7 linked regions of the Sus scrofa genome follow. The protein of the gene in region 3 purifies or fractionates together with the protein of the main gene of each other region. This does not show direct contact. Links are inferred from orthologs where the notes say so. Each region holds a gene or a part of one and is shown on either strand. Other genes may lie near its edges.

Region 1 (4,373 bases), on a different chromosome or scaffold from region 3:
CAGCAGGGGTAAGGGTGCGGAAGCGGCGTGGATGCTAGTGGGCGGGCGGGGACCGTACAATCCTCGTCTCCCACTCCTCTCCACTGGGCGCTGCTCTACTCTGCGCTCTCGGCGCCCTGTGCTCCGCGCCTTTAGCTAAGGCCCCGCCTGGGAGCCTGGGAGCCCCGCCCCCACCGACAGGCCCCGCCCCCAACAGCCCTGCGGGCTCTTGTCCCAGCCTCACCCGCCTCCCGGATCCAGTCCGGTCCTCAGCTATAGGCGCGTGGGAGCGGCACGCACGATGGAGCGCAGTGGCAAAGCCAGGGAGTGACTTGTTAGGCGAAGTTTCCCTATAATCGCCATCAGCTCTCTCTGAGACAACCTTCATAAACGGGCAATCTAAATAAAAACTGCGTTTGAGGTAAACGCCGCCTTAGAACGGGTCCCTGAGTCCTTCTGCGTTTCAGAACTGAAGGCAGCCCCTTGTCCCCTACAAGGAGAGATTTCGAAGCGGCCTGCTGGGGGCTGAGGCTTCTTTCTTCCACTTCCCCCCAACCCCCCCACCCCCGCTGTGTCCCTCCGCTCTGGAGCGGGTATTCTCGCCTCAAGGACAGCCTGTGCACGGTCAGCAGAGTGCGAGAGGGGCTGGCTCCGGCTTCGCTCCGCGCCTGCCTTCGGATGATTACGTCGCGGTGTGGTCCTAAGACAGGTTTCAGCTTCGCCGCGCCTGACTGAAGCTGAAGCATCCTGGACCCCTTCCACCCCCACCCCCTGTGGTGTGGGGACTGAGACCGTGAGCTAGACTGTTCCCTGAGGTGAATGAGAAGAGACCAAGGAGACCTCTTCTCAAGGGAGAGTTAAGCTGCCTCCATTCATGCCTGAAAGTCGAGTATTAAAGCTGCATGCTTTAGGGTAAGCCAGGTATTTTTCTTTGCTAACGTGGATCCCCTCCAGCACCCCACCCCCTTCTTCCCAGGTGGAATTCGTTATTAGTCAGCCTGGCTTCCTTTACAAAAAGGAGACTGGGTGAAAGTATGTTTTGAGGGAAAAGGGAAGTAGGTGGGAAGTTGAAACCTCGGGGCACTATGAAGCTACAGGGTGTCCCTTCCCAGGACCTCTGCAGAACAGAGGGAGTGGCCGGGGATCTCCTGCCAGGAGAGATGAACAGCGAAGGGAGAAGCGAGGTTGGGATTGAAGCGCTGCTGATGGGAGGGAGGGAGTTTGAGAAGAAATTGGACCCTCCCTCGATCTGCCCTAGGGTCTCCTTCTTCATCCTTCCACCCCCTTGCCCACGCACAGAACTGAAGAGTGGGCCAGACCAGATCTGGGCCAGGGTGACTACGTGGGGCGTGGCAAGGAGGAGCACAGAGTTGTGGCCGGTGGGAAACCCTTAAAGTGCTGGGAGCATGACAATGCTTGGGGGAGCCGGGTCGGTTTTGAGATGGAGCTGCCGGGTCCCCCACCCTCTCCTCGCTGCCATTTTTGCATCCTCAGCATCCTGTATCTCCTAGATCTGCCCTGTTGTTTGAAACCCAGGGATGACCCATTACCGCGCCGTGGGAGTGACTGCAGGAGGCGAACCTTTGAGCCCCACCGTACGAATGACCAACGCCCTTCTCGGATCTATTGCTCGCCCTCTGGGATCAGGGGCCCTCGAGGTCGCGTTCTGCTCCAAACCTGTACTTCCACCCCGCCCCAGCTCCCAGAGGCCCCTCTAGGAACAGCCCTAGGAGTCGGAGACACAGTAGTCTGAAGAAGACACAACAGTCTGCAGCGCGTGGCAGGGCGCAGGGAACCTCAGGCCCTGTAAGACTAGGGCAGTTGTGGGACTTAAAGAGCATCAGTTTCGTTAGGCCTGAGAAAAAGTCCCAAAATGGCTGGAATCTATGTTCGAACGGGCTGATAAGCGCAGAAGCGAGCTCTCCACCCACGGGAGTATGCGAGCCAAGGCTGAACGTTCACTTTGAAGGGATCACGCAGGGGTCTACGATTCGGAGGCAGGGGCCAGGAGTTTACGTCGGGTGAGGATAAGACCGTTCTGCGTTTGCCTTTGCTCTGAGCTGGCGCTAGAAAGCGCCGCCCCGCGGTCCCCCTCCACTGGCGCCAGCTGTAGAAGACTCGATTCACTTCGTTCCGCAGTCAGTGAAGGGAGACCGGGGAAAAAGGCCCGCGCCCCCTCCCGCCGCTCCCCTCCTTTTCCCAGCTCCCTCTGCAGCACTTAAAATGTAAATGTACATCGTGATTAGCCGCCGGGTCGCTAATTACCGCTGAAGCCATTCATTACTCTGACAGCGTGCGTTGCAGCCCGCCGGCTGTGCGCTCCTGTGGGGCCGCGGAGTGGCAGGACCGGGTGCGGAGCGAAGAGGGGGAGGAGATCGCGGGCAGGGGAGCGGAAAGATTCGAGTGGGGGGGCAGCGAATGAGTGGAGCGACGCTGGCAGGCCAGAAGCTAGGGCGGGAGAGGGGACAAAATGCTGGACGGTGACGTGCGGGGGCCGGGAGAGGCGAGGTTTGCCCAGGGCTGTTAGGAAAGAAGGCGAAGGAGCCGTAGCAAGGATAGCAGAGAAAGGGGGCGCTATGAGCGAGAAAACCGAGACGAGGAGCGAGGCGACGGCAGGATACTCTGGGGTCGGCTGGGAAGGGAGTAGAGGGCTCAGCTCTGGGAAGGTGGATAAATAAATTTGAGCATCTGTGGTGCACACTCTGCGACAGTTAGAAACATGGAAAAACAGTCAAGACTTTCTGTTGAATGAACTGGGTACCAGCTATCCACACAGTAGGACAAGTATTTTTTAAGCTAGGGAGTGAGGAATCTATTTCTGTGTGCACGTTTATAGATGTAAATGTATTTTTAAAATAACTGCAAGAAAACAGCACACTTCATCTGTTACCTCTGAAGCTGCATTTTGTTGGCCTCTCTAAGGAAAGAACTACTAAGTATGAATATAAAATTAAGCCCAGAGTTTTGAAATAGCCTTTGTTAAGTGAGGTCCTGACCTTGCGCCTGAGGTTCATTAACTTCTTTTCACCTCTGTGATTTGGGCATTTTTTTTTTTTTTTCTATTTTGGCCTCCCCTCGGCATATGGAGTTCCCTGGGACCAGGGATCAGGTCCTAGTGGCAATTGCGACCTTCTCCAGTGCTGCAGCAACAACGCTGGATCCTTTTATCCATTGCGTGGGGGGGAGGGGCAGGGCAGAAATCGAACCCGCAACCTGGTGCTTTGTGCCAGACCCTGTACTATGCGCTCACCTGTACTAACTCATTTCATACAACAATGAAACCACTACCCATTTCGTAAGTCAGGTAGAGCCAGATCCAGAGTCTGTCTGGCTCCAGAGTCTGTTCTGTTCTTTTTTTTTTCTTTTTTTCCCTCCCCCTCAACCTCCCTCTCTGGCAACCACCAATCTCTTCTCTGTATCTACAAGTTAAGTTCTGTTGTTGTTTTTAGATTCCACATATAAGTGAGATCATACATTATTTATCTTTATTTCACTTAACATCATGTATGTATACATACATAACACACAATAGAATATTATACATACACACACACCACATCTTCTTTATTCTTTTATATGTCAATGGACACTTAGGTTGCTGTCATGTTTTAGCTATTATAAATAATTCTGCAGTGAACATAGGGAGGCATATGTCTTTTAGAATTAATGCTTTCATTTTCTTTAGAAAATACCCAGGGTATGGGAGTTCCCGTCGCAGTGCAGCGGTTAACGAATCCGACCAGGACCCATGAGGTTGCGGGTTCGATCCCTGGCCTTGCTCAGTGGGTTAAGGATCCAGCGTTGCCGTGAGCTGTGGTGTAGGTCGCAGACATGGCTCGGATCCCTCGTTGCTATGGCTCTGGCATAGGCCGGTGGCTACAGCTCCGATTAGACCCCTAGCCTGGGAACCTCCATATGCCGTGGGAGCGGCTCAAGAAAAAGGCAAAAAGACAAAAAAAAAAAAAAAAAAAAAAGAAAGAAAGAAAATACCCAGGGTAGAATTGCTGGATCATACGGTAATTCTATTTTTAATTTTTTTTCTTCTGTCATTTTAGGGCTGCGCCCACAGCATATGGAAGTTCCCAGGCTAGGGGTTGAATTGGAGCTACAGCTGCCGGCCTACACCACAGCCACAGCAACGCAGGATCTGAGCTGCATCTGCAACCCATACCACAGCTCACGGCAATGCTGAATCCTTAACCCACTGATTGAGGTCAGGGATCGAACCCACAATCTCCTGGTTCCTAGTTGGATTTGTTTCTGCTGTACCACGATGGGAACTCGCTATCAGAGTCTGTTCTTAAGCATGGCACTAGACCATCTGCAAGAGGAAGGAGAAGCAGAGTGGAAAGCCATCAGCTCTAGGTCTCCCCAGCTACCCATGATGAAGGTCC
Region 2 (3,823 bases), on a different chromosome or scaffold from region 3:
CCAGGATTCTTTAATATATACGTATCCTTATTCAGATTCCTCTGCAGTCTAGCTTATTACAGGTTATTGCATACAGTTCCTATGCTATAAGGTAGGTCCTTGTTGTTTCTCTATTTGTTTACTGGGCCACATGCACGGCATACAGAAGTTCCAGGGGCCAGGGATCAAACTCGAGCCACAGCAGCGACACCACATCCTTAACCCACTGAGCTGCCAGGGAACTCCTGTCTCTCTATTTTACATATGGTAGCGTGTTTCTCTTAGTCCCAGCCCCCCAACTTATCCCTCCCCCACCTACTCTTCGTCTCTGCACAAGGAGGGACAGCCAGCAATTTCACCAAGGGTTCCACCTCGTTTAAGGTGATCAGACTGGCGTTCCCACCGCGGAGCAACAGGGTCGTGGCATCTCCGCAGCACCAGGACGCAGGCCGGACCCCTGGCCCAGCAGTGTGGGTTAAAGGATCTGGAGCTGCTGCAGCTTCAGGGTAGGTCACACCTGTGGCTCAGCTCTGATCCCTGGCCCGGGAACTTCCATAGGCCGCAGCGCAGACAAAAAAGAAAGAAAGAAAAAAAAAAAAGGATAATATTACTGCGCCTGAGCCCAGGCAAGAGCAGAGGGGACGCGTGTGTGAGAGCATCCCGGAAACAACGGGTAGGCGCAGGACCTGAAAGGCAAAGGGCCTTCTCACCACAGCTGTTCCAACAGGAGGCATATCTTCTCTGGAAGGATGAACCCGGTGACGGTGCACAAGGAAGCTCTGGCCACCACTGTGCTTGGCTGAGGACAGCAATAGCTTGATAGGAAACTGTCAGGCTCGTTATTTCTGTAACCAAAGAAAGAACCAAAGAAAAGATGCTGAGATCCACCACCACACACCTGAAAGCACTACACCCCTATTACAAACAAGAAGCCAGCCCAAGCCCTCCAAGACCCAGGGGCCCTGGTACCCACAGCTCCGCGTGGCTGAAGACGGCGCCCAGCCAGTCAAAGAGCTCCAGGGCGCTGCAGGCCGTGTCCGGCTGGCCCCCCAGCTCGCTGCTCCGCAGCACCGGGCACTGCAGATCTGCCACCGAGCTCACTGCTATTTTTGGCCGATGCTCCTGAATTCGGTAACTGGAAAAGTACGACATCAGCGTTGATTCTTCTGCACCTTCAAACACACCAAATAAGGCCACTTGAATCGTGTAAACGAGCTTGGAGAATCCCTGAGTCCACCCCTCCCACCGGGGGGCTTCCGGAAGCAGGTAGGATGCAGTACGACCGAAGCAGGTGGTGCGAAGCCTTGTTCAAATTAGAACCATTTCGGTTCCTTTCAGCTCCTTGTGTCAAAGCTCGGTAAACACCCACCTTCTGTCACACTTTTCCTGGAAAATCATAACCCTTTCAGAGTCAACGCATACCAGTCTCATCACACATGCTTGTTTACTAAGAAACTTTTCACTTAGTAAAAAAAAACCCAAAGCATGACTTAGGTTTCAATAAAATTAGTGAACTCCATAGAGAAAGGAGCACATTTTCACACTCTATGCAAAAGGAAAGAGAGAGGAACCCAGTAACAGAGTCTCAGTCCAACTCGTCTTTAAAACCCAGGAGGAGGGAGTTCCCGTCGTGGCACAGTGGTTAACGAATCCGACTAGGAACCATGAGGTTGCGGGTTCGATCCCTGCCCTTGCTCAGTGGGTTAACGATCCGGCGTTGCCGTGAGCTGTGGTGTAGGTCGCAGACGCGGCTCGGATCCTGCGTTGCTGTGGCTCTGGCGTAGGCCGGTGGCTACAGCTCTGATTAGACCCCTAGCCTGGGAACCTCCATATGCCACGGGAGCGGCCCAAGAAATAGCAAAAAAAATAAAAAAAAAATAAAATAAAATAAAAAATAAAACCCAGGAGGAGGGAGTTTCCACCGTGGCTCAGCAGTAACAACTGGACTAGGATCCATGAGGACACGGGTTCGATCCCTGGCCTCGCTCAGCAGATGAAGGATCCGGCACTGCCGTGAGCTGTGGTGTAGGTGGCAGATTCGGCTCGGATCTGGTGTGCTGTGGCTGTGGTGTAGGCCGGCAACTGCAGCTCCTATATGGCCCCTAGCCTGGGAACTTAAATATGCCACAGGTGTGGCCCTAAAAAGACAAAAAAAGAAAAAGGGAGAAAAAGAAAACCCAGGAGGAGAGCTCCCCGGTGGCCTCAAGGTTAAGGATCCACCATTGGCACTGCCGTGGTGTGGACTGGATCCCTAGCACAGGAACGTCTGCATGTTGTGGGCACGGCCAAAACTCATAAATAAACAAATAGGATAAAGTGTGTCCTGAAGGACTGGAAGAGGAAGGAGCAGCGCCCCGGAGCAGAGAGCAGGCTTCCTTACTGTGCAGCGTGTTAGAAACCCGCTCTCCCTCCCCACAGGGCAGAGGTCAGCAGGCTCACTGTCCTGGATCAGAGACCTGACCTCCTGAGCCTCCAGGTTCCCCTCTTATAACGCATCCTACCGCCTGAGCCGGCATCACCTGCCCACCACGCAGTCCCTGCAGGAAGCAGGACCTGGGGGTTGGGGCAGACGCAGAAGCTCTGGCCACCACTGCTCTGTCCTAGGGCTCAGCACCCACGAGATCATACGGCCTAACTTCAGAGCCTGCAAAGAGGGTGAAATCTCAGCTCTTCCACAGGTCCTGACAAGCCCTTAAAATACACAGGAGCCTGAGGAACGCAGAGCTCTCCAGAACCCGGTGTAAAGGAGGCCGTCCCTCATGAAGGCTTCCGGCCACCGAGAGGTCAGCCCTCTGCCCTCTGTCTGCACCACACCAGGAGCAGCACCACAGTTTGGAGGCCCTGCGGCTCCCACTGAGTACAGATTCCCTGGAGGTGCCGTCAGAGGGCCTCTCTCCAGGATGGAGCGATGGGCTCCCGTCTTCCCCCAGCGCACCGCCAAGATCTGGTTCATTGTAATCTTGGTTTGGAACAAATATATACTTTTTTTTTTGCTTTTTCGGGCTGCTGCCTCGGCATATGGAGGTTCCCGGGCTAGGGGTCAAGTCGGAGCCACAGCTGCCGGCCTACACCACAGCCACAGCAATGTGGATCCGAGCTGTGTCTGCGACCTACACCCCAGCTCATGGCAACACTGGACCTTGACCCCCTGAGCAAGGCCAGGGATTGACCCCACTGCCTCATGGATACTAGTTGACTCATGGATACTAGTCGGCTTCGTTACTGCTGAACCACAGTGGGAACGCCCTAAAGATGCGGGCGGATTAAATTATCTCGTGAACATCAAACTCTGAACTACATGTATTGTTCCAATCAGTTAAAAGTGACAACAAATTTAATCTGACATTGAATGCTGCGCCTGATTACTACCCTGCAAAAAGGAATTAGCAGTTTGCGTATATCACTGTAATTGGTGTTATTTTATCTTACTTTATTTATTTTTTTTTGTCTTTTTAGGGCCACACCTGCAGCATATGGAGGTTCCCAGGCTAGGGGTCAAATCGGAGCTACAGCTGCCAGCCTACACCATAGCTCACGGCAACCCCACTGAGTAAGGCCAGGGATTGAACCTGCGTCCTCATGGATGCTAGTCAGATTCGTTTCCACTGAGCCACGATGGAACTCCAAATTGGTGTTATTTTAAAACTCTCCAGCCGAGGCTGTTGGAGGGAAACTGGAGGAAGAAAGGAGAGAAACGGAAAATGGCGAGCTGCTCTGAGCCTCCGAGCTCTGGGTCGACACAGAAGCCGAGGAGATGGAGGCAGACGGATGCACGCCTAGATGGCCCTGGACGCAGCTCTCGGGAACGGCACCTTTCGTTAAGTCGAAACAGCGTAAAGCAAAA
Region 3 (4,566 bases):
TGCCTGCCACAGCAGCTTCCAGGTGAGCGCAGCCCGGTGTCCCCTACACAGTGGGAGACGACACTGATCCTGAGTTCCAGTTAACCCAACTTGACTCTGGTAGCATGGAAAGGGAGACCCAGGGGAACAACAGACCCCGATTAAGCCTAACATGTCTGCTGGAAACGTGAGGAGTAAAACGTGGGAAAGGATGGCTAAAACAGCCCTACGGGTGGAGAAGCCACGGAGCCATGTCTGCCATCACCTCTGTTGCTCCCAGACCTCCTGCCAAGCACTGTACCTGAACATCGAACTCTTTCGCCTCTTTCTGAGAAAAGGCATTGTAGATCACACCTGGGGGATTTAAAACAAACAAACATGAAACAAACAATTCCGATCACTATGGCTTATAAGACCCAAGCCTTTTCTAATCATGAAAATAACCATGCTTATTCATGGAGAGAAGATACCAATGGTACAAAGAGCATAGCTTCAAAACTTTCCTGGACGCCTCCTGTCCTACTGTCCATCCATCCCAGAAGTTCCAAAGGTGTGCTTTAAAATAGTGCTTCTCAAACGTTAAGAACCTCTGTGATCTTGGAAGTTCCCGTTGTGGCTCAGTGTGTAACAAGCCCGACTAGAATCCATGAGGATGTGGGTTTGATCCCTGGCCTCGCTCAGTGGGTTAAGGACCTATGGTCTAGGTCACGGATGAGGTGTGGATCTGGCGTTGCTGTGGCTGTGGTGCAGGCCAGCAACTACAGCTCCAATTCCGCCCCTAGCCTAGGAACATCCATATGCCGCAGGTGCAGCCTTAAAAAGGGAAAAAAAAAAAAAAAAAAATCTCTGGGATCTTATTACAATGAAGAGTCTTGGGTGCCACTTTCAGATCCTGCATTTCTAACAAGTTCTCAGATGCTACTGCAGCTCAGCAGACCATATTTGGAGTTGCACTGGTTTAAAATTCCACAGGTTAGGAGCCCGAGCTCTAGAAGTCTAAAGATGTAACCCATTTAAAAGTTATGAGACAGGGATTTCCAGGATGAAGGAGGTCGGAACTACATTTTGTTAACATTTAGATATTTAAAAAAGACTTGTCACATTTTAATATCTATGAAATTGAGATGCATCATACAACTGATGGTGTCCTAACCTGATAAAATACAGATCTTCAAGCTCAAAATATATATTGCTCAGTGTGGTTTCAATCTTTAAAAACTCTTACGCTCCTGTTTCTTATTTATTTTTTTTTTTTTTGTCTTTTTGCCATTTTTGGGGCTGCTTCCGTGGCATATGGAGGTTCCCAGGCTAGGGATCGAATCGGAGCTGCAGCCACTGGCCTACACCACAGCCACAGCAATGCAGGATCCGAGCCGCGTCTGCAACCTACACCACAGCTCATGGCAACGCTGGATCCTTAACCCACTGAGCAAAGCCAGGGATGGAACCTGAAACCTCATGGTTCCTAGTCAGATTCGTTAACCACTGAGCCAAGGTGGGAACTCCCTCCTGGTTCTTAATTTGTCTGAAGAAGAAAACCACACACTGAGGACAGAATATGGGTGTGAACGGAATAAAAATGAGACAAAGACCTGGTTTAAGGGCCAAAAGATTAGAAAGTCTGGTTCATACTAGACTCTGTAAATTCTGCCCCAGCTCTCTTTGTGCTTCTCAGGTACATTGGACCAAGCAAGCCAAAGGGGTTACAAGTTTTATATACACAGTCTGGTTCTCCCTCCAATGGAAGATAGGGATTAAAACCTATCTGCAGGGCCTGGAACCCCCGGAATGACTTTGTGCTTGTCATAGGTTCCTAGCATTAGACGTGGAAGTCTTTTTTTTTTTTTTCCTTTCTGTAACAATAGATATCTAACAGTTAGTGACCCCTCATTACTTGCCATGCCCCTGATTTAAAGCTACATACATTTTATCTCATTACACTTTCTGAACAATCCTTTAAAGGAGCTATTATTCCTATTCTATACTAAGAAAACTGAAGTTCAGATACGCTGAGACACTGGATCACATACATAGGAAGTGAGAGAGGTGGCCCTCAAAATCCAGTTTTAAAGGTGTCACTCCCCTGCCTATAACTGTCCTGGGTGCTTGCTCCTCTCCTTGGCACACCTCTTCTCTGCTCAACTCCCAAAGCTTTGGTTTAGTGATATCGTTCCCCAGCACGCTCCCTGAGCTTTACACTAGGGAAGAGTCCCTCACATAACATCAGGCTGGGCAGGCACCTTCATCAGTACCTTACACAAAGGTAAACAGGGTTGCAGAGAGGAGCAGGGCCTTGACCAGGCCACCCAGGGAGGTACTGGCCAAGTTCGGCCAGGGCCTTGGGCCCTCCTCTAGCACCACACACGACTGGCAGCGCCCCCGAGATTAACCTGCTTCCAGCTCTGCCATCAATCCCTAGCTCAGAGACTGAGCCAGGCACACTGGGACTCCCGTGCCTTAGTTTTATTTATGTTAAGGAGGGATAATTCCCACAACAGTTCCACCAGCACCCACATCTAGTCTCCGACTCTTTACACCTCACTCCACCCCTCTCCAAAGTCGTGGCCCTCAACCTGGCTTACTCTTCATTCTCGGACCGCTTCCGGTGCGCTTTTCTGACGTCTCCTTCAGCGTCGCTCCCTCTTTACCTCCCTCTACTTTCTTCAGCAGCCTCGACTACCAAGCCTCTCGCCAAAGTTTGTGGCGGAGAGGTTTCCTGTGTCTGAAGTCGCGCGGTATGCTACATTGATACCAACACGCTCCTACTTTTAGCTGGAGTCGCTGCCCCAAACTCGAGGTTGGCGCCCCTGTGACGTCACCGACGCGCGCCGACCTAGGTTGGCGCATGCGCCTTGGGGCGGACTCCGCCGCACAAAGCGCCGTGGGGCTCTTTTCAGTTCGTGTGTTTTCTAGGCGAGGGAAGGCCAGAGGCAGTAGGGTTGGAGTTGGGGTGTGACATGCTTATGAAAGCCTGGAGTAGAGAGAGGCGGGTCGACTTGGAGAGGACTCGAGGGAGGTTGGGCCCCCGGGGTGGGTGGAAACGGGTTGGGGCGGGGCGGGGGGTGGTGATGGAGGAAATGAGTCTCTGCGGTCCCTGGTGAGTGCTCTCTACAGACCATCTGAGGCACTGAAGGATAGAAGGCTTAGGTTCTTATTCTGTCTGCTGTTAGCTAGGTGTGCAACCTCGCTTAAGGCACTTCCCATCTCTGGGCCTCACTTTTCCCCGTTCTGCTTAGTGGGGTTGGACTTGATGGTCTCAGAGTTTTCTAGAGGCTCGGCATATTAGTTTCCGTCAATAAGATGAAAGGCAAGGAGGAGTTCCTGCCGTTGGACAATGGGTTAAGAATCCGACTAGAGTGACCAGCGGTTAGATTCCCCCGGGCACCCCGGGCAGTGGGTTAAAGGATCCTTTGTTGCTACGGCTACGGCTCAGGTCTGAGCGCCTGGGATTCAATCCTTGCCCTGGAACAACTTCCTTATGCCGCGGGTCCGGCCTTAGGTTGAACAAAAAAAGTTAGAAGGCAAGGAGTTGATTCCCATTGCCCCGGGGTTGGGTTCAAGAAGTGTGTCAAGAAGGCCTGGGTGGAGGCCTCTTAGAAGCTACCTTAAGTTTTGCTGAGAGCTGGGCCTGGGTAGGGCCCTGCTCTGGAGAGAAAAGCAATACAGAGAGGTTCTGTGGTGGCTCAGTGGGTTAAGGATTTGGCCACTGTCACTGCTGTGGCTCTGGATACTGCTGTGGCACTAGTTTGATCCCTGGCCCAGGAAATTCCACGCATTCCACTGGCATGGCCAAAAAGAAAAAAAATAATGAAAAATAAAAGCAATATGGTCCATGTATTCTAAGCCAGTGGTTCTCAACTTTCAGTACAGTATAAACTCCTTTTAAAGGAAAAAAAAAAAAATTTCCCAGGGAATCCTGGGAGTATGTCCACACACCTGAGTTTGAGAAATATTTAAGTTTCTTTGGGTGGTGACCTTGTGTCATTTTGATCTTAAACATAAGACTACAGGCCCTGGAACTGAGCATTTACCTTCTATGTATATTACTATCAAAATGGAAACAGAGCATTAAAACTAAAATATGTCATATTTTCAGATGTCTGAGAATACTTAGGAGCCCACGGGATTAAATTTGAGAAATTGCTCTTGGGGTTCCATACTATGTAAACTACCAAATGTATATTTTATTTTTTTAATTTATTTTTTATTCTTTTTGTTTTTTTAGAGACGCACCCGCAGCATATGGAGGTTCCGAGGCTAGGGGTCGAATCGGAGCTGTAGCCACTGGCCTACACCACAGCTACAGCAATGTCAGATCTGAACCGCATCTGTGACCTACACCACAGCTCACGGCAACACCGTATCCTTAACCCACTGAGCGAGGCCAGGGATTGAACCTGCATCTCATGGAGGTCAGATTTGTTTCCGCTGAGCCATGAAGGGAACTCCTGAATGGGTATTTTAAAATAGCAGCACAAGGAGTTCCCATTGTGGCGCAGTGGTTAACTAATCCGACTAGGAACCATGAGGTTGTGGGTTCGATCCCTGCCCTTGCTCAGCAGGTTAAGGATCCGGCATTGCCGTGAG
Region 4 (4,427 bases), on a different chromosome or scaffold from region 3:
CTGGCTGACTCTGTGATGAAAACGAGGGAAATTTGTAATGGAAGTTAAAGATATTAATCCATTAAGGCAAAACAGTAAGAGGGGGTCCTTACTGGTGAAATGTTATCCACCACTGCTCTGGAGCACATGTCCTGGTCATCCTGCCCAGAGGAAACTGCATATGGCTCTTCCCTTGTTTTCTTCCTCACTTCCTTCCTGGGCTCAGCTGGGAACCACAGGGACCCATGTTGCAAAACTGAAGGAAGTTCAACTAGCCAGCTCTGGAGAAGTCTGGAGCTGGGTGGTGTCCCTGTTCGTCCCTGTTCTCAGGTAACCAGATTTTCTCATTCCAGATACGCCCTCATTGTAGATCTTTTCATCCCATGGACACCCGCCCTCCGCAGAGCGCCCCCTGCAGGATTAGCAGTTAAGTCCCCTCCAAGTAAACTTCCACCCAGAAGCCCAGTCACTGATGCTGTTGCTGAAGGGCAGGTATTTCCGTGGGGTAGTCAGAATGTGTGAACAATTTCTCTGTGAATTATCAGATGCTCACAAAGCACCAGTTTAACTGCCTAGCGTGTGGAGGAGGAGAAGGGCTCAGGTTAAGTAAGTACCTTGCCCGAGTCACACCTGGTTTTCCCAAATCCAATTTTAATGCTCTCTCAATCCTGGCTGCACCTCAGAAATAATCTGTGACTTTTTCTTTGTCTTTTTAGGGCCGCACCTACAGCATATGAAAGTGCCCAGGCTAGGGGGTGAATCAGAGCTGCAGCTGCCAGCCTGCACCACAGCCCACAGCAACCCCGGATCCTTAACCCACTGAGGGAGGCCAGGGATCAAACCCTCATCCTCATGGATAATAGTCATAGTTCTTAATCCGCTGAACCACAACAGGAACTCCCTAATCTGTGACTTTTTGGTAAAACATGTGGACGGCTGGTCCTCTCAAGGTCTACTGAATCGGAATCCCTGAGGACATGGCACGGCACCTGTACTTGGAAAAAAGGCTGCCGGGAATCTGATAGAGAATGGGGCTTGAGAACGCCGGTGTAGGACGGGGGCCTTTCCACACCGGGCAGCCTGAGAAATGGTCCCCTGACCTCTGCTGGCCTTGGTGTTCCTTCTACGTCACCTTCTCACAGAAAATCAAAATTCAGCTCCCTAGGGGAGAGAGCCCAGACCTTGGTGTTGGTATCAGTGGTGCCCACGGCTAGAAAGGCGGTTTGGGCCTCTGAAGCTGCTTCCTCCACCCTGCCCCAGGGCGCAGCCCTCCCCACCCATCATCCCCACACTCCCCTCCAGTGCAGTCACGCCCCATGACGGGATTGGCAGAGGCCAGTGCCAACCCGAAGGTGGTCAGAGGAGGGAAATAAATGACTCAGGAACGAATACAATGATCTGACAGAGGTCCTGCCAGACTGCAAACCACAGTTCACGTGCCTCAGCATCCAGACAACACGGAGGAAATACTTACAGGTACGTGCTCTGTGCATCAGCTCCTCCTGGCTTCAGAATCTAGACAGGGAGACAAGGACCAAGGGGTTCCGTTCAGATGAGTCTCATGGAACAGAATCCAAAACTAAAGTGGAAGAAGTAACAGGATTTGAAAGAAAATGGAGGCCTCAGGCCTGTAGCATCAAGTGTGAACTCATTAAGGTGACAGCCAAGTCAGTCCACACTCTGGCGCATCCCCCCATCATCTTTCTCCTCATGCCCCACATATTGTTTCAAGAGATGACCAGTTCCTCCCTCCAGGGCTTTATACATATTCCCTCTGCCTGGAAAACTACTCCTACCATCAGCCCCAACAACACCATATTTCTTACTAGAGCAAGTATCTGCGCATTTCCCACAATGCCAGCAAGCCAGAAAGATTACAAATGAAAGCAAAACAGCCACTGGATCCACTGGGCTCAGAACCTATGAGGAAGATTTATCAGCGAGTAATAAAATAACATGCGATGCAAATCAAGGTACGGAAACTACGAGATGTAGAGCAGAGATCTGACTCTGTTGAGAAGGTCAGGAAAGGCCTCCTGGAGGAAGTGTCCCTTTAACCTGCATCTGAAGAATACCTACCAAAGGGCTATCAGAAAGGGTATCCCAGGAAATTGCGTTAAAAGAAAGAATGTCAATATCGCCGGAGCAGAGATGCTAGAGCGGGTGAGATGGTGAGGAAGACTTGCAAACCTTGCAGCGGGAAGCGGCAGTGGGAACGTTCAAAGCAAGATGAGCGATGTAGTTAGAAAGGCCTCAGGGAAAGAGCTGTGTGAACTTGGACCAGGAGGAGGCCTTTGCCAAGGACCAAACCGTAAAGAAATGACTGCGGCACTAGAGACGCCGCAGAGGGATGAACAGAAGGGGTGCAATCCGCCCGACTTAGCGATCAACTGGGAGTAAAACAGAGAAAGAACTCAAGAGAGGGGTCTCGAGTTTCGGGGTCCGGCAGCCGAGGGGATGACAGGGCCAATTCCCAGTGTTGATCCCTCCTAATGTCTGCTGCCTCTCTAGTGCCTACCGACTTTACGGTTTAGCACACGAGACTAGAATTATTTTCTTGTCCGCCTCCACTTCCAGACTGAGTAGTACAGAGGGACCAGGGTGGGCGTTATTTCTCGTACCCAACAGTGCTCAGCTCCCGGCGGAGAGCAGACTAGCGGCCAAAGCCAGGACACCGGAAAACACTGTGGTCCCGGGTGCGTGCGCCCTCAGAGTCGGGGAGCGGGGGAGACGGCGCGCACCCGGCAAAGCCCCAGGACGGATCCCTCCCCTGGCGGCCGCTCGGAACGTCAGACCCCCGCCCGAGCCCCACTCACGGTGGCCTCTGCGCCAGCTCCACGTGGGCCGCTCTGCGCGCGCGCAGAACCTGCGCCTTCTCCGGCCCCGCCTTTCGACGCGCTGGGGTGATGTGGACCACTCGGGGGACCTCACTCTTCTTCCTTCTGCGCCGGGCTAGTCCCAAACGCCATTTCTCAAAAAGGCTAGAAAAAGGGAAAGGTTCGATCTCTAGAAACTGCCTTGAGCTGGGGTGAGGATCCGGAAAAGGCCATCCAGAGGCAGTGCGCAGGTGCAGGGTGTGTCTCGCGAGAGCTCTGGTTGCCTGGTAACCGGCCGCTTGCGGGGTGTGCGGCTGGATGTGAGCGCCAGTCCCTTCGCCATTAGACTCCGAGAGGATGGTTTTCTACTTTGTAACGCAACACTCTTCCAGTGTCCTCCTTTCTGCGCCTGGGGATCTGAGCTCTTCTCGCTTTAGTTTTTAACTTACCTGAGGGTCGCAAAACCCTGACGCAGTGCCTCTGTCACTGAGTCCCTGCCGAATCCCTAGCAACGTGGAAATCAAGATAAATAGGGGATGGGGAGGTGCCGTCACAAGTCCGGCAGTTAACTGCTGCGCCAGGAGTGAAACGCCTGTGATTTTTAAATTTTTATTACAATCAGATTTAAAAGAATGAATTTACAACGAATTTGTAACAACTTTTGTTTCATAAAATGAATAGTAACAAATAATGCTGATGCACTGCAAACAGGCAGTTCTAAATTAGTCTCAGTTTGGGGCAGCAAGTCCTCATGGTCCAGCAGAATTCTTTTCTTGAAATGTCACTGACTGTCCTAATTCGGCTCTGCTCTGTTTGTACCCTGCCAGTCTCCTTATTCATCAGAAACGAGATGGAGGTGTTGGGCTTTGGAAGGCAAGAAGTTTGTATCTTGTGTTTTTTTTTGTTTTGTTTTTATTTTTTAATGTAATACTCAAAATCTTTGTTGGGGACTAACTAGCATGTATACTACCACTGATAAAAAAAAGGCTGTGAGCCTATACCCTAAGGCAGGTCAAGTAAAATAAGATCAATTTACAGACTCAGACAGTAAGTGCAACAGTTTTGGCTGTGTTAGGTAATAGCTTAGACTTCATGAATCATCCAGTCTGTTAAAAATATTAATAAGCTCCTGAAAGAGCTTCTGCAACCAGAATAATGTTTTAAAATTTAAGGCTAATTACTCCCAAATCAACCAGTTTTGAATGTAACAACTCTGGCCCTTGAATTGGTAAATTACTAATTATAGTTATCCTTTGTTGGCTTTAAATTGAATTAGATTAACCTGTGACCCAGTGATTTTTCTGGCTTCTTATGTGGTCAATGCAGTTAAATTTAATGGTGGCAGAACTGATATTTAAATGTTAAATGTAAGAATCAATTGCAAGGTCATTTTTTTTTCAAAGTAATGAAAAGGTGATACTTCATCTACTGTCAAATTACAGGGTAATGACTTAGTCCTACAGAGTGTCTCTCAAACCTTCAATGAAGCCACAGTGATTCAAGAATGATAAAAGTATCATTTCAAAGATGAAGTAATGTTGAGTGTAAATCACATTCTAAGTGATGCCACCAAATACAAGTTTTTAAAGCTCTCAGAAATTGGATAAAAAGATGAGAAATCATTGAATCAGA
Region 5 (3,823 bases), on a different chromosome or scaffold from region 3:
GAGTCTAAAGACGCAACCTGTAATACATGCACTAGTTACCACGCAGAAACTCAGGTGGCACGGCTTAGTGGTTCAACGTACAGGCCCTGGAACTGAACTTGCAGGATTCAAACCCTCCCTCTGCAATGTATTCACTAGAGAGGGGCACCTACTCTGCACCAGGCACTGTGCTAAGCCTGGGGGAGCAGGTTAAAGAAGAGACACCCCGTCTTTGCCATCACAAAGCTCAGAGTCTAATGGGACACGAACAGCACATAAATATGCAAACAAGAGGACGCATGTAATTTAACTGGGGTAGGGGGTGGTCAGGAAAGGATACTAGAGGAAAATGATATAGACACCGAAACTTAAAGAATGAGGAAGGCTTAACCAACAGTGTGGTTAGGTGGGAATATTCAGACAGGCTCTAAGGAAGACAAGAGCTGACACAGCCTAGAACCTGAAAGAAGGCCAGTGTGGCTCAAGGGCAGAAGGTGAGAACAGATAAGACCAGACAGGCACAGAGGCACAAGATTACCAGTCAAATTAAGGGCTCTGGACTTGATCTCAAAAATAATGAGAATGGGAGTTCCCGTTGTGGTGCAGTGGCTAACGAATCCAACTAGGAACCACGAGGCTGCGGGTTGGATCCCTGGCCTTGCTCAATGGGTTAAGGATCCAGCGTTGCCATGAGCTGTGGGGTAGGTTGCATTCGTTGCTAGGACCTGGAGTTGCTGTGGCTCTGGTGTAGGCCAGCGGCTACAGCTCAGATCAGACCCCTATCCTGGGAACCTCTATATGCCGAGGGAAACGGCCCTAGAAAAGGCAAAAAGGCAAAAATAAATAAATAAATAATGAGAATGGAGTGAAAGGGGTGAACAAAGAAGGAAAGAGTCGACACTGGTTGAGACCAGCGTAGAAACAACGGAGGAGGGAGAAGTGGCCTTTGTTTCTTAAAGGACGTTTTCTAAAAGCTTGAATTCTGTTCAGATCTCTCACCACATTCGACATGTCCAATCTGTGAGAGGCACAGGCACTGAGAGGTTAATTGCACTAATACAGGAAAACAAGCCAGATCTGAACCCCAGAGTGTCCAATTCCTAATCTAGTGTCTGCTCTCCAGACCTGCACTGCCAACAAGGCAGCCACTAGCCGCAGAGAGCTATTCAAATTTAACTATTAGTTAATTAAAATTTCATAAAGGTTCACATTCACCTCCTCAGTCATACTAGCCACTCAGTGGCTACATGTGGCTGGTGGCTCCCCTACTGAATGGCACTCTTGCAGAAAGTTCTACTGGACAGAGATGTACTTAACACATTGCTCCCACCTTTAGAGATCACTCTTAAAACCTGCACCAGAAAATATGCATCACACAAGTACAAACAAACAAAAAACTGGCATAAACTTTCAGGGATTTTAGGGGTTCCCTGTTACCCACCTATGGAGGAGACGTTAAGACCCTTCTATAAGACTCAGAAGCTGCAGGAGTAGTCTGTATTTAAATAAGAACAAGTCAGGAGTTTCCGTCATCGTTCAGGGGAAAGAATCTGACCAGCATCCATGAGGACGTAGGTTCAATACCTGGCCTCGATCAGTGGGATAAGGATCCGGCGTTGCCATGAGCTGTGGTGTAGGTGGAAGACACGGCTCAGATCCCGAGTTGCTGTGGCTGTGGTATAGCCCAGCAGCTATAGCTCCAACTGGACCCCTAGCCTGGGAACCTCCATATGCCACAGGTGTGGCCCTAAAAAGACAAAAAAAAAGAACAAGTCAGTTTAATATATTCACTTAGATTTTCTCTTCTAGGAGAAGTGAAAGATAAAAGTCTTTGGAATTCCCATCATGGCTCAGTGGTTAACGAATCCAACTAGGAACCATGAGGTTGCAGGTTTGACCCCTGGCCTTGCTCAGTGGATTAGGGATCCGGCGTTGCCATGAGCTGTGGTGTAGGTCGAAGATGCGGCTCGGATCCCACGTTGCTGTGGCTCTGGCGTAGGCCAGTGGCTACAGCTCTAATTGGACCCCTAGCCTGGGAACCTCCATATGCCACGGGAGCGGCCCTAGAAAAGGCAAAAAGACAAAAAAAAAAAAAAAAAAAAGTCTTTGATAATAAGTACAAGTAGGGAAACAAACATTTATAAGGCATAACCCAAAATGTTACCAAATTACATTAGGTTTCACAAATTTGCCAAGAAGGACCCAACTCAAATAAAACATCACAATCACATTTACTCTTACGGTGTGGACAGAAGCAGCTTTTAATGCCTCAGTTAGGATGGCATGGGAAAGTGGACCAATCAGCCGGAATCTGTTCATCTCCATTGTGAAATCACTGAAAGAAAGAGAAAGTCTTAAGACAGAAACTTCCAGGAGCCCCTTGGCAGTTCAGTGAGTTAAGGATCTGGCGTCACTGCTGTGGCACAGGTTCCATCCCTTGCTTGGGAACTTCCATGTGCTATGGGTATGGCCAAAAAAAAAAGAAAGAAACTTCCATCATATATAATGTCTGTTTCACCAGCAAAAATAGAGCACTCTGGGAAGGGAAGGATTGGGAGTTCGGGATTAGCAGAGCTAAGCTATTATATATAGTGTGGACAAACAAGGCCCTACTGTATAGCTCAAGGAACTCTTTTCAAAATCCTTATGGCAAACTGTAATGGAAAACAATATGAAAAAGTATATATATATATGTATATATATACATATATATACACACACACACCAATCCACTCTGTTGTATAGCAGAAATTAATACAACATTGTAAATCAACTATACTTCAATAAAATTTAAAAAAAAAAAGAGTACACCTTCACTGAAAATACTCAGAACCTAGTTCTGAGCAAATTCAGCCCATACCTGATCATAATGCCTGTGGTTGGAGACAGCCAAGAATATGGTTGAAGTGGGTCTCTAGTTCCATCACCAATGATTTTCTTAATTGGTTCAGCATTTTCTCCATCATCTTCCCATTTTCTCTTCCTACCAATTTTCTCCGTTTGGCCTTTTTCTTGGGACGGTGTCAGAAGGGAATCGGGGATGCAGACAGCTGACTTGGTGGGTTCCATACACTGGCACGCGGCTTTTATTTCCTCTAAGATATCCTAAAGATAGATTTAAACATTTTGCTTTTACACTCTGGAATTTAAATATATTACCGATTCAAGTTGGTTTCATTTTTGCTATTTTTTTCTACCTTCAACAATTTACATTTTAATTCAGCACAAATTAAACTAAATTTAGCAAGATCAAAAAGTTTTTTTTGATTCCTCTGAGTAGTGCTTGGCACTTGGAACCAAAAAAGAACGTAAATGTCAAAGATTAATGAAAACAACATGACTAATTATTCTAAAACTAGTTTAAAGAGGAAACTGGAGAAAATTTACAGTCTATTGTATAAAAGCAGTGACTACACTAAAAAAAAAAAAAAAAAAAAAAAAAAAAGGGAAGCCAAATGCAGTATTAGCAAGTCATGAGAATTACTCAAACCAGCTTCTCATCATCAAATAGGCTCTAACAAGCACCTGAATAGCAATGAACCCAGTCAGGCTGGTGGAAGCATTAGTCTCAATGCATTCCAAGCCCTTTGCATAATACGACTGGTTTTCATCACTACTTCTATTAGGGCTTAATAAAGGTTAGGTCAAGATTTTCTTTGGAGTTCCCACTGTGGCTCAGTGGGTTAAGAACCTGACATAGTGTCCATGAGGAATGCAGGTTCGATCCCTGGCCTCGCTCAGTAGGTTAAGGATTTGGCATTGCTGTGAGCTTCCATGCTGGTCACAGTTGTGGCTCAGATCCCACACTGCTGTGGCTGTGGCACAGGCTCGCAGCTGCAGCTGA
Region 6 (4,579 bases), on a different chromosome or scaffold from region 3:
CAGCCTTGTGAAGACAGATTAAACAGCAAAGGTCTTAAAGGAATTCCTGGAATGGGCACTCAAGCCATTCCCAATAGATCTGGAACTTGGAAGAGCTCAGTACATGCTGTTCCCCCTGAAGAGAACCCCTATCCTGGGTTCCTCACCCACCTCACTCCACTCTGGATAGCTCCTACTCATCCTTCAAATTCCAGCTTAAAGTTCACCTCTTCTAGGAACATCACTTCTTCGGAGAGCCCTTCTCTGACACCTTGCTGTAAGTTAGGCTCCCTTGGTATGTCATCTCTTAACATTGTCTTTGTTTAATATGTGGTTCCCCCAACTAAAGGGACAGGAAATTGAAGCCTATCCAAGGAAAGGAACTTTTCCAAGGTCACATAGCTGTAGACCAGCATTCACAAAAACCTCTCCGGTCCCAGTTCCAACCACTCCCAGAAGACAACCTCAAGAGAAAATGAGAAGTCAAGGTCAAAGCCACTACATCCAACCACCTATTCAACAAATATGAGTATTTCCTGAGTCTGGCACAGAGTATTCAACAAACACTTATTGAATACATGACTGATTAAATGGTGGTAGCATTCAAGGGTGTCTCATTTCTCTTTTCTTTTTCCATCGCGCCCACAGCACATGTAGTTCCTGGGCCAGGGATCAAATCTGAGATGCAGCTACAGCAATGCTGGATCCTTGACCTACTTTGCCACAGTGGGAACTCTTGTTTCAGGACTGCAGTAGTTCACGGTGCTCCCTTCTCAATCACTACAATCTCCCCTGACTGGAAGGGCAGGGAGGACAGTATCCTCAATCATTTCATTCATTGCCTGGCACACAATAGGTGTTTATTAAACATTACTGATTGCCTTAGTGGAGGTGGCTGCCTGAGGTAGAGTGAGATTGGGCCTGGGGCTTAGGATGCCAATAACAAAGAAGACTTAAGGAGTATTCTGGAAATGGATAGTGGTTATAGTTGTACAACTATGTGACTATACTTCTTGCCAATGAAGTGTATATTTAGAAATAGTAAATTTTTCATTATGTTTATTTTATATTAAAAAAAAAACTGTAGGAGCAAGTGTTTATTGAGCAGTCACCTCTGACAGGCCTGGGTCTCAGAGTGACAGCACCGCCCTCTGCAGGTTGTCCTGAAACTAAAGGAGATGATGCCTGGGAAGCCCTCCCTACAGCCCAGTATATTCATTCACCAGGCTCACTGGGAAAATGTGAACACTTCTAAGTGGCTGTCATTATCATCATCTCTGAAGCCGGCCTTTTTGATGGCTGCAAGGATGCTCATTACCTTATCTATTAGCAGTAGATGTCCCTGCTTCCCTCCCTAATCTAACCGGGTGACCCTATTAAAACCTTAATAAGCCCCTTTCCTCAAGGCTTGAAGCCTTGAGTAAAGCCAAAGTCTTTACATCTAAGGTCCAACCTGATCTGTACCATTGCTTCCTCCCATCCCTCTGACCTCCTGTCCTACCACTCTCCTCTGCTCAGTCTCTTCTACCACACAGGCCTCCTAGCTCTTTCCCTCCCAGCTTTTCCATTCGCTGAAAATACTCTTCCTCCAGACAGCCACATGGTTCATTCCCTTGCCTCCTCCATAGCTTTACTCAATTTCACCCCTCAATGTGTTCCAGTGGCATTTCTATCTAATGTCACCCCCCCACGCCACTGCTCTATTTTTTCCTCAGAGCATACACCACTCTGTAGGTATACAGAACATAACTATGAAATCCACTTATTTTTTGGAGGGGTGGGGTGCGTTGGCGGCGAGGGGTTAGTTCTGGGGTCGAACCACCCCATAGCAGTGACAACACCAGATCCTTAACCCGCTGAGCCACCAGGAAACTCTGAAATTCTTTAATTCTCGTCTGCACTCCGCCCTGCTCCTCCCCCCTCCCACCCCGGCCTTACCAGAATGTACAATCCAAAGAGAAACAGGCATCTTTCCCTTGTTTTCTGCTGTTTCCCAGGAGGCTAAAACAGTGCATCACATACAGTAGGCACTCAGTATGTAATTACAGGACATAAACGATATAAAAATTTTAAAAAGCTCGGTCCTCTACTGTTTGGAGATTAAATTGTTAAGCTATCAGCCACTTAGGCTGGTGTTTTGTTTTATTTTGCTTTTTAGAGTTGCACCTAAAGCATATGGAGGTTCCAGGTTAGGGATCGAATGGAAGCTAGGGCTGCCAGCCTTACACCACAGCCACAGGAACGCAGTATCCTTAACCCACTCACTGAGCGAGGCCAGGGACCGAACCAGCAACATAATGGTTACTAGTCGGATTCGTTTCCACGCTGCCACAACAGTGGAACTCGACACCTGAACTGTTTTAAACAATAAGTAAAGCAGGCTAACTTTTTTCGATGACCGTCGGCGTCGACTGGGCGCCCACCTGGGGCCGAGTGCATGCCCCCTGCACATGTGGTCCCGTTCAGTCCTCCCGCCGCCCTCTGCAAAAAAGACCACGTTGTACAAAAGCCCAAGGAGATTCTCAGCACCGCCTCGCCTTCGGCCTGGGGCGCTGAGCGACCTGAGCTGTATAGGTACCTCAGGCGTCTCCGCGCTGCCTGCCGTCGCTCCCGCCTTGCGCGTGCCTTCCTGGCGCGCGCATCCACGCGTCACTAGCGCGGCCAACTAAGTCCACTGCCGGAAAACAGCCACGCTACTACGTACTTCCGTCTACCTGCTCTCCGAGAGATTAGCCTGACTCCTATTCACTGCAAGAATCCCTCAAGGCTTGGAACCTCTCGGCAAAGGCTGGAGCCTAAGCACGAACTAGAAAACTCCGGGGTCTTTACGTTTGGCTTCTGTCTGCCCCGACCCCGGATGCGTGACGGCTCGGGCGGATATGACGTCACAGCGCGGCGTTTTCCCGAAGGACCCGGGCGTGACTCGGGATCTGAAGCTCGCCAGGCTTAGCGCCCTCTCGTGCCCACTCAGCCTCTGGTGCGGCAAGCCGTGTGTGACTGAGGGCGTATTCAGACTGAGAGCTTTTTTCTTAGTCATTCATTTACTCAGGTATTCATTCGTTCAGAAAAATTGTATCTAGCATTTCTTCTGCTGAGCATCTCCTATGTAAAGTATTCCCCAAGGGCAAGACCCGTTCTCAGTGTCTCTTTTGGCTCATAGCACATAGTTTTTCTGTCTGGATTGACATGAAAAGTCCCAGATAGCCCTATTTCCAAATCTAAGACAATAGTTTCATTTATTCGTTTATTAAATAAGTACTTACTGAGCCCGTATTATGTGCTAGATGTTGGAAACAAAAGATAGGGCACTTGTATTCATGAAATAAACAAAACCCCATACAGTGTGGATTAATAATAATAGTAGTATTAATAGCTAATATTAATCAAATGCTTACGTATGCCAGGCACTATTAGCCTTTCAAGCGGCAAGCAGTCGAACTTAGGTTCGGTGGTAACAGCCTCCTCCAGTTAGACATGTGTCTGTGTCTAGGTATGCACATACATACATAGACACATAAGTATAATGTCTAGATGGGTCCCAAGGGGACTGATGGAGGAAGGATTGGGCTGTGTGGAGGGTGTAAGAGATCCTCACATTGTTTCAGCATTCGTTTTTGTTTGATTTCTTTTAAAGTGATAGGGCATCATTTTTATAATACTGATAGTAAGTAAAATTTAGGCTCCCAAGAGGGAGTCTTGGACCATACCCTTCTGCATGCCTCTCCTTTCACATGGAAGAATAGACTTCCTTAAGATGTCACCTCCCACCCCCATCTGCCAAGGTTGGAGAGAGGAGGTAGAAAATGCAGACTCAGGAGTTCCCGTCGTGGCGCAGTGGTTAACGAATCCTACTAGGAACGATGAGGTTGCGGGTTCGGTCCCTGCCCTTGCTCAGTGGGTTAAGGATCCGGCGTTGCCGTGAGCTGTGGTGTAGGTTGCAGACACGGCTCGGATCCCGCCTTGCTGTGGCTCTGGCGTAGGCCGGTGGCTACAGCTCCGATTCAACCCCTAGCCTGGGAACCTCCATATGCCGCAGGAGCGGCCCAAGAAATAGCAACAACAACAACAACAAAAGACAAAAAGACAAAAAAAAAAAAAAAAAAAAGAAAATGCAGACTCACTGTCCCTTATCTGCAATTCTAAAATCGAAGAAAAATCTGAAGACTAAATCTTTCTTCATTAGGTGCAATGCTTAATCTGAACCTAGGTGAAACATTTTGTAGCTTCTGTCCCATTTGCTGTGGATATGCACATTGTATACATCAGAAATATGGATACATTTGCTCATGTAAAGCAGCCCCAGGCCCCACAGGGGTGGGGGCGGGGGGTTATACAACCTATGGTATACATACCATAACAGCCCTCTAAAATCTGAGAATTTCTGGAGTTCTTGCTCTAGCACCACAGATTAAGAATCTGGCATTTTCTCTGCAGTGGGGGTTTGAACCCTGGCCTGCTGCAGTGGGTTGAGGATCAGGTGTTGCCACAGCTACGGTACAAGTTGAGTCTGCAGTTTAGATTCAATCCATGGCCCAGGAACTTCCATATGCTCTAGGTGTGGCCAAAAAAAAAAAAAAAAAAGCTGAAAATTTCTTTTTTT
Region 7 (4,382 bases), on a different chromosome or scaffold from region 3:
CCTGGCCTGGGAACTTCCATATGCCGCAGATGCAGAACTTAACAAAAAAAAAAAAAAAAAAAAAAAAAAAAAAAAAAGGAGTTCCTGTTGTGCGTCAACTAATATCCATGAGGACGTGGGTTTGATCCTTGGCCCTGCTCAGCGAGTTAAGGATCCGGCACTGCCATGAGCTGCAGCAAAGGTGGCAGACGCAGCTTGGACCTGGCGTTGCTATGGTTGTGGTATAGGCTGGCAGCTTCAGCTCTGATCCATCCCCTAGCCTGAGAACTTCCATACGCCGTCGGTGCTGCCCTAAAAAAAAAAAAAAAAAAAGGGTAAAATAAAAAAATAAACAAAAAATAAAAAAAGACAGTGTACAAAGAGTGAACTTAACAAATATGCTCATCTGCAGCTTCTATATTACAAATATACACACAAATAATTATAAATGCTAGTTATTATTAACTTCAGAAATTGTATTTTACCTGTTTCTTTTCCTTAAATTCAACAACATGATTGATGGCAACAACTGAATAGCCCACTGAAAAGAAAAATTGAACATTCTTATTAAATACAATAACCTCTCTTCCCTGTACACATAGGCTCATCCCAATTCATATCAAGACTAGAAGATAGTTAGAAGAATGGTTATGGGACAGGCTCTGGAGTCAGACTGCCAGTTTTCAAATCTTAAGTTACTTTAAGTTTCAGCTTCTTCATCTATCATATGGTGTTAATAACAGAATTTACCCCATATAACTGTCATGAGAACTAAATGAGATAACACACATAGCATGTTTAAAAATGGTGGCTGGCACAGAGTTAGGGTTTTGTTTGACCTGGGTGATGTATTATTAGCAAGACACAGAAGACCCTTAACTTTGTGCATCTCCTTTCAACCATCATTCTCTTTCAGGCCTTTTTTCATTTTCATCCCATCAAATTATATTTTTTCACTGTTATCTTCATTCTTACTCATTTTGTTTGCTCTTTACCCCTTCTGCTTTTTCAGAGGCCCCTGTGCTAAGGAGAAATGGAATAAGGACTCCCTTACATGCCACTGTCCCCATCCCCTTTTGAGTTGCCCACCAACAAGAGATTGGGAACTCTCTGAAGTCAGAGCCTAGTTTATCAGCCTCAACACAGCACTGTTTTTGGACATATGGACTACCAAAAATACATCTAAATCATGACTTAAAACGTTGAGTTAAACACCAATGGGGAGGACAGGATATTAATATTAAAGAAATAATGCATATCGGAGTTCCTGTTGTGGCTCAGCAGTAATGAACCTGACTAGTATCCAAAAAGCTGCAGGTCTGATCCCTAGCCTCATTTAGTGGATTAAGAATCCAGTGTTGCCACGAGCTGTGGTGTAGGTTCAAGCCTCCACCAGGATTCCATGTTGCTGTGGCATAGGTGGGCAGCTGCAGCTTCAACCCCTAACCAGGGAACTTCCATACCCTAAGGGTACGGCCCTAAAAGGACTAAATAAATAAATAACATATATTAATGCCAAGATAGTGGTCTTCCCTCTCAATAGTTTTTCCAATTTCCTTCTTTCTTTCCTCCTTCAAATGAGGATCCATTACTTGATAGGCCCTGCAGATATCTCTCTCTCTCTCTCTTTTTTTTTTTTTTTGCTTTTTAGGGCCGTACCTGTGGCATATGGAAGTTCGCAGGCTAGGGGTCGAATCAGAGCTATAGCTGCCAGCCTACACCACAGCCACAGCAACACGGACTTCAAGCCGCATCTGTACACCGACGCTCACCCCAACGACGGATCCTTAACCCGCTGACAGAAGCCAGGGGTAGAACCCACATCTTCATGGATACGAGTTAGGTTGTTACCGCTGAACCACAACCGGGAACTTCGAAGAAATGTCTTTATTTTTAAACCCCTCTATCTCCACTTAGACACTTTAAGTCTAAGGAAGAAGGCAGAAGTCGCGATTAACTTCGATTAGAACGATCTTACCTCTCAGGGCTTCTGCTTTCCTTGGATTCAAATACGAGTAACATTCTAGCATTCTGGCCATGCTGGTCCCTTCCCAACCTCTTGGTGTGTCCTACGCCTCAACCTACCCTCCCTCTAAATAACATTATTCCAACACTCGCAGCCCCACGTCCCACCACCCCCGCCCATTTTCGGAGCACCCAAAGCACTCCCCATCTGTGCACCAACCAGCTTTCCGCATTTGACTGAGTCAGTACACAGTGGTGAGAGGTAGGAAGGGGCGATATTAAAAGCACAGGTGGAGACTAGCTTTGGCCAGCCTTCAGCTGTGAGGCCCTATATAAGTCCCTGGCCCTGTTAGGACCTCAGTTCCCCAATTCACAATAAAGAAGGAGCTGGACTGGGTAACAGTTCCCCAGCGCTTTTCGAGTTTCCCGGGCCCGGGATCACAGCAACCCCGCAGAAGGCATCAGCTTCCAGAGACTGCCTCCAGACCCCAGAAGACCTGAATGAGGCCCGGCCGCGTCCCTTCCGAACGTGGCCCGACGATCTGGATGGCAGCGAGGCTGGGCAGGCACCGCTGCTCGCGAAGCCGCGGCGACTCACGGTAAGCGGCGTTCTCCACGAGCCCACGCAGCGCCTTGAGGTCGGAACCCGCTCGCAGGTCCAAATCCACGAACACCGCCATGCTGAAATCACGTGAACTTGCGCGGCTGTCTGCGCAGCCGCAGGGCCCGCCCCCTCGGGGCACGCTGGGAATTGCAGTTTTCCTAAGCAGTCCTCCCGTCCCTCCCGCGGACTGACGTTCCCAGGCTCTTTGAGCGCCTTCGGATCCCAGCAGAAGTTAGTGTGTGGAAGTCAGCAGCCTCACTTCAGTTCTTCTTCCTCTGGATGGGAAAGTTTTGTTTCCCTCGAAGGGGTTCACATAGCCCACCATTCCTCCTGTGAAATAATGTAGAAAATGATTCTTTCAAAATGTACGTATACAGCATTTATTGAGGACTTACAGGGAAAGAAGGTCTGGAAACCCTTAAAAAGTAAGGGTTTTAAATCCGTTTTTCTTTCCCGCCCCTAAAGGTCATTCCATTGTTTAAATTGGACTTAATGGGGAGATGGGGAAACTGACCTGACAACTCGAAAAAGGTTTGCTCGAGAAAAAAGTCATTTTGCTCAATCAGAACAGACGGTGGCACAGCATGCTAAACTCCATTACAGCCAGTATTCTCAACCTGGAGTTGGCAGGGATAAGCGGTTAGCTTCAGCACGTGTTTAGCCAAAAATGGGTTAGACAAGGGAGGTGCACAATTGAAATGTTTTACAGTTTTCCGTCTGACAGATGTACAAGGTGGAATATATCCCACAGTTGTGATGGTTCCACATTTTCGTACACATGAACTCTTGAAGAGTGATAAATTAATTATCCGAGAACATAAAACTCTGGAACTAGAGTTTACATCACTGCTTTACAAAGTACCCGTGATTACTGGGTCAGTTCACCGAGTTCCCAACCCCCCTCCCTCCACCAGTTCTTCTAGCACCAGTAGTGATCCATTGTCCTTTACCCACAGGCAGCTCTGGCCTCAAAAGATTAATCTAACATCTGAACTGCTCTATACTAGACTGAATAAGAGTCCACAAATCAGGGGCTTGGATCTCCAGACTATGCCAAAGGGATGTGAAAGTTTGTAAACATTTTCCGTTTCTTTGCTAACTTGTCACAGACAGTACACAGAGTCTCGGGTTTGTGGGCCACATCTTGATTTGTTCTTTACATGACTTCTTTCTTGGTCTCAGAAGGGAATTTTAAGAGGGATCTGTTCCATGTGGTAGTATGTAATTCTCCTTTTGGTTAAGTTCAATAAAAAAGAAATCTTCTGCTATCTAATATTTGATGTTTTCTAAGTAAGAACAGAAGAAAATTTTACTTCTGCAAATAGAAGAAAGTCATATAAAACAAACTCTGGCTTCTCATCTGAAAATCTCGTGTTAATTTTGCAGGAAGATCTAGTGTTAATTTTATAGGCGTCTTCATCTGCAGCCACAAAACCTAAATTGTTTGGAAATATGTCCGATGTGTGGTGAAGGTGAATAAGATGACTCATTATTTGATACCAGAATTAGACTACAGAGGGCTTCTTTCTTTGAAAGTCATGACGCTGTTTCTGTGGACTGTATACCCTTTAAACTTCTTATCTTCACCCTGGGCTTAGAAGGGAGGAAGAAGGACGAAAAAGAAAATGAATGAACGACAGTCACTGAGCAGTCTACTGAGGGCCAGCCTATTTGCTAAGTAGTTGCCTGCATGTTTAATTTTCAAAACAACTGAGTTAAGTGCTGCTTTTTCCACAACCTCTGCATTTTACATTTGAATCATCTGAGGCTTAGGTCATTGTGGTAGGACCACAGGTGGATCCAGGTGGCTTGGATCTATTCTCATGTCTCTATG

The links.
Region 1: the proteins of POP4 (region 3) and RPP25 purify together in Homo sapiens (affinity purification with mass spectrometry; 3 studies listed by BioGRID and IntAct, counting the BioPlex papers as one, with this or other methods). This does not show direct contact. The link is inferred for Sus scrofa from reciprocal best matches to the Homo sapiens genes POP4 and RPP25.
Region 2: the proteins of POP4 (region 3) and RPP40 purify together in Homo sapiens (affinity purification with mass spectrometry; 3 studies listed by BioGRID and IntAct, counting the BioPlex papers as one, with this or other methods). This does not show direct contact. The link is inferred for Sus scrofa from reciprocal best matches to the Homo sapiens genes POP4 and RPP40.
Region 4: the proteins of POP4 (region 3) and RPP38 purify together in Homo sapiens (affinity purification with mass spectrometry; 4 studies listed by BioGRID and IntAct, counting the BioPlex papers as one, with this or other methods). This does not show direct contact. The link is inferred for Sus scrofa from reciprocal best matches to the Homo sapiens genes POP4 and RPP38.
Region 5: the proteins of POP4 (region 3) and POP1 purify together in Homo sapiens (affinity purification with mass spectrometry; 5 studies listed by BioGRID and IntAct, counting the BioPlex papers as one, with this or other methods). This does not show direct contact. The link is inferred for Sus scrofa from reciprocal best matches to the Homo sapiens genes POP4 and POP1.
Region 6: the proteins of POP4 (region 3) and RPP14 purify together in Homo sapiens (affinity purification with mass spectrometry; 3 studies listed by BioGRID and IntAct, counting the BioPlex papers as one, with this or other methods). This does not show direct contact. The link is inferred for Sus scrofa from reciprocal best matches to the Homo sapiens genes POP4 and RPP14.
Region 7: the proteins of POP4 (region 3) and RPP30 purify together in Homo sapiens (affinity purification with mass spectrometry; 4 studies listed by BioGRID and IntAct, counting the BioPlex papers as one, with this or other methods). This does not show direct contact. The link is inferred for Sus scrofa from reciprocal best matches to the Homo sapiens genes POP4 and RPP30.

What each region holds. Positions count from the first base shown.
Region 1 is NC_010449.5:58,604,341-58,608,713, reverse strand, and holds the start of RPP25 (ribonuclease P protein subunit p25), read right to left. Parts: upstream 2,865-4,373; 5' UTR 1-2,864. UniProt on the Homo sapiens protein: Component of ribonuclease P, a ribonucleoprotein complex that generates mature tRNA molecules by cleaving their 5'-ends. Also a component of the MRP ribonuclease complex, which cleaves pre-rRNA sequences.
Region 2 is NC_010449.5:2,995,131-2,998,953, forward strand, and holds part of RPP40 (ribonuclease P protein subunit p40), read right to left. Parts: intron 1,152-3,823; coding exon 953-1,151; intron 825-952; coding exon 690-824; intron 1-689. UniProt on the Homo sapiens protein: Component of ribonuclease P, a ribonucleoprotein complex that generates mature tRNA molecules by cleaving their 5'-ends. Also a component of the MRP ribonuclease complex, which cleaves pre-rRNA sequences.
Region 3 is NC_010448.4:39,732,766-39,737,331, reverse strand, and holds the start of POP4 (ribonuclease P protein subunit p29), read right to left. Parts: upstream 2,810-4,566; 5' UTR 2,569-2,809; coding exon 2,562-2,568; intron 334-2,561; coding exon 281-333; intron 1-280. UniProt on the Homo sapiens protein: Component of ribonuclease P, a ribonucleoprotein complex that generates mature tRNA molecules by cleaving their 5'-ends.
Region 4 is NC_010452.4:46,722,913-46,727,339, forward strand, and holds the start of RPP38 (ribonuclease P protein subunit p38), read right to left. Parts: upstream 3,051-4,427; 5' UTR 2,796-3,050; intron 1,559-2,795; 5' UTR 1,454-1,558; intron 1-1,453. UniProt on the Homo sapiens protein: Component of ribonuclease P, a ribonucleoprotein complex that generates mature tRNA molecules by cleaving their 5'-ends. Also a component of the MRP ribonuclease complex, which cleaves pre-rRNA sequences.
Region 5 is NC_010446.5:38,625,156-38,628,978, forward strand, and holds part of POP1 (ribonucleases P/MRP protein subunit POP1), read right to left. Parts: intron 3,085-3,823; coding exon 2,840-3,084; intron 2,315-2,839; coding exon 2,221-2,314; intron 1-2,220. UniProt on the Homo sapiens protein: Component of ribonuclease P, a ribonucleoprotein complex that generates mature tRNA molecules by cleaving their 5'-ends. Also a component of the MRP ribonuclease complex, which cleaves pre-rRNA sequences.
Region 6 is NC_010455.5:40,060,425-40,065,003, reverse strand, and holds the start of RPP14 (ribonuclease P protein subunit p14), read right to left. Parts: upstream 2,827-4,579; 5' UTR 2,558-2,826; intron 2,547-2,557; exon of another isoform or gene 2,366-2,546; intron 1-2,365. UniProt on the Homo sapiens protein: Component of ribonuclease P, a ribonucleoprotein complex that generates mature tRNA molecules by cleaving their 5'-ends.
Region 7 is NC_010456.5:102,564,295-102,568,676, reverse strand, and holds the start of RPP30 (ribonuclease P protein subunit p30), read right to left. Parts: upstream 2,876-4,382; 5' UTR 2,625-2,875; coding exon 2,543-2,624; intron 521-2,542; coding exon 465-520; intron 1-464. UniProt on the Homo sapiens protein: Component of ribonuclease P, a ribonucleoprotein complex that generates mature tRNA molecules by cleaving their 5'-ends. Also a component of the MRP ribonuclease complex, which cleaves pre-rRNA sequences.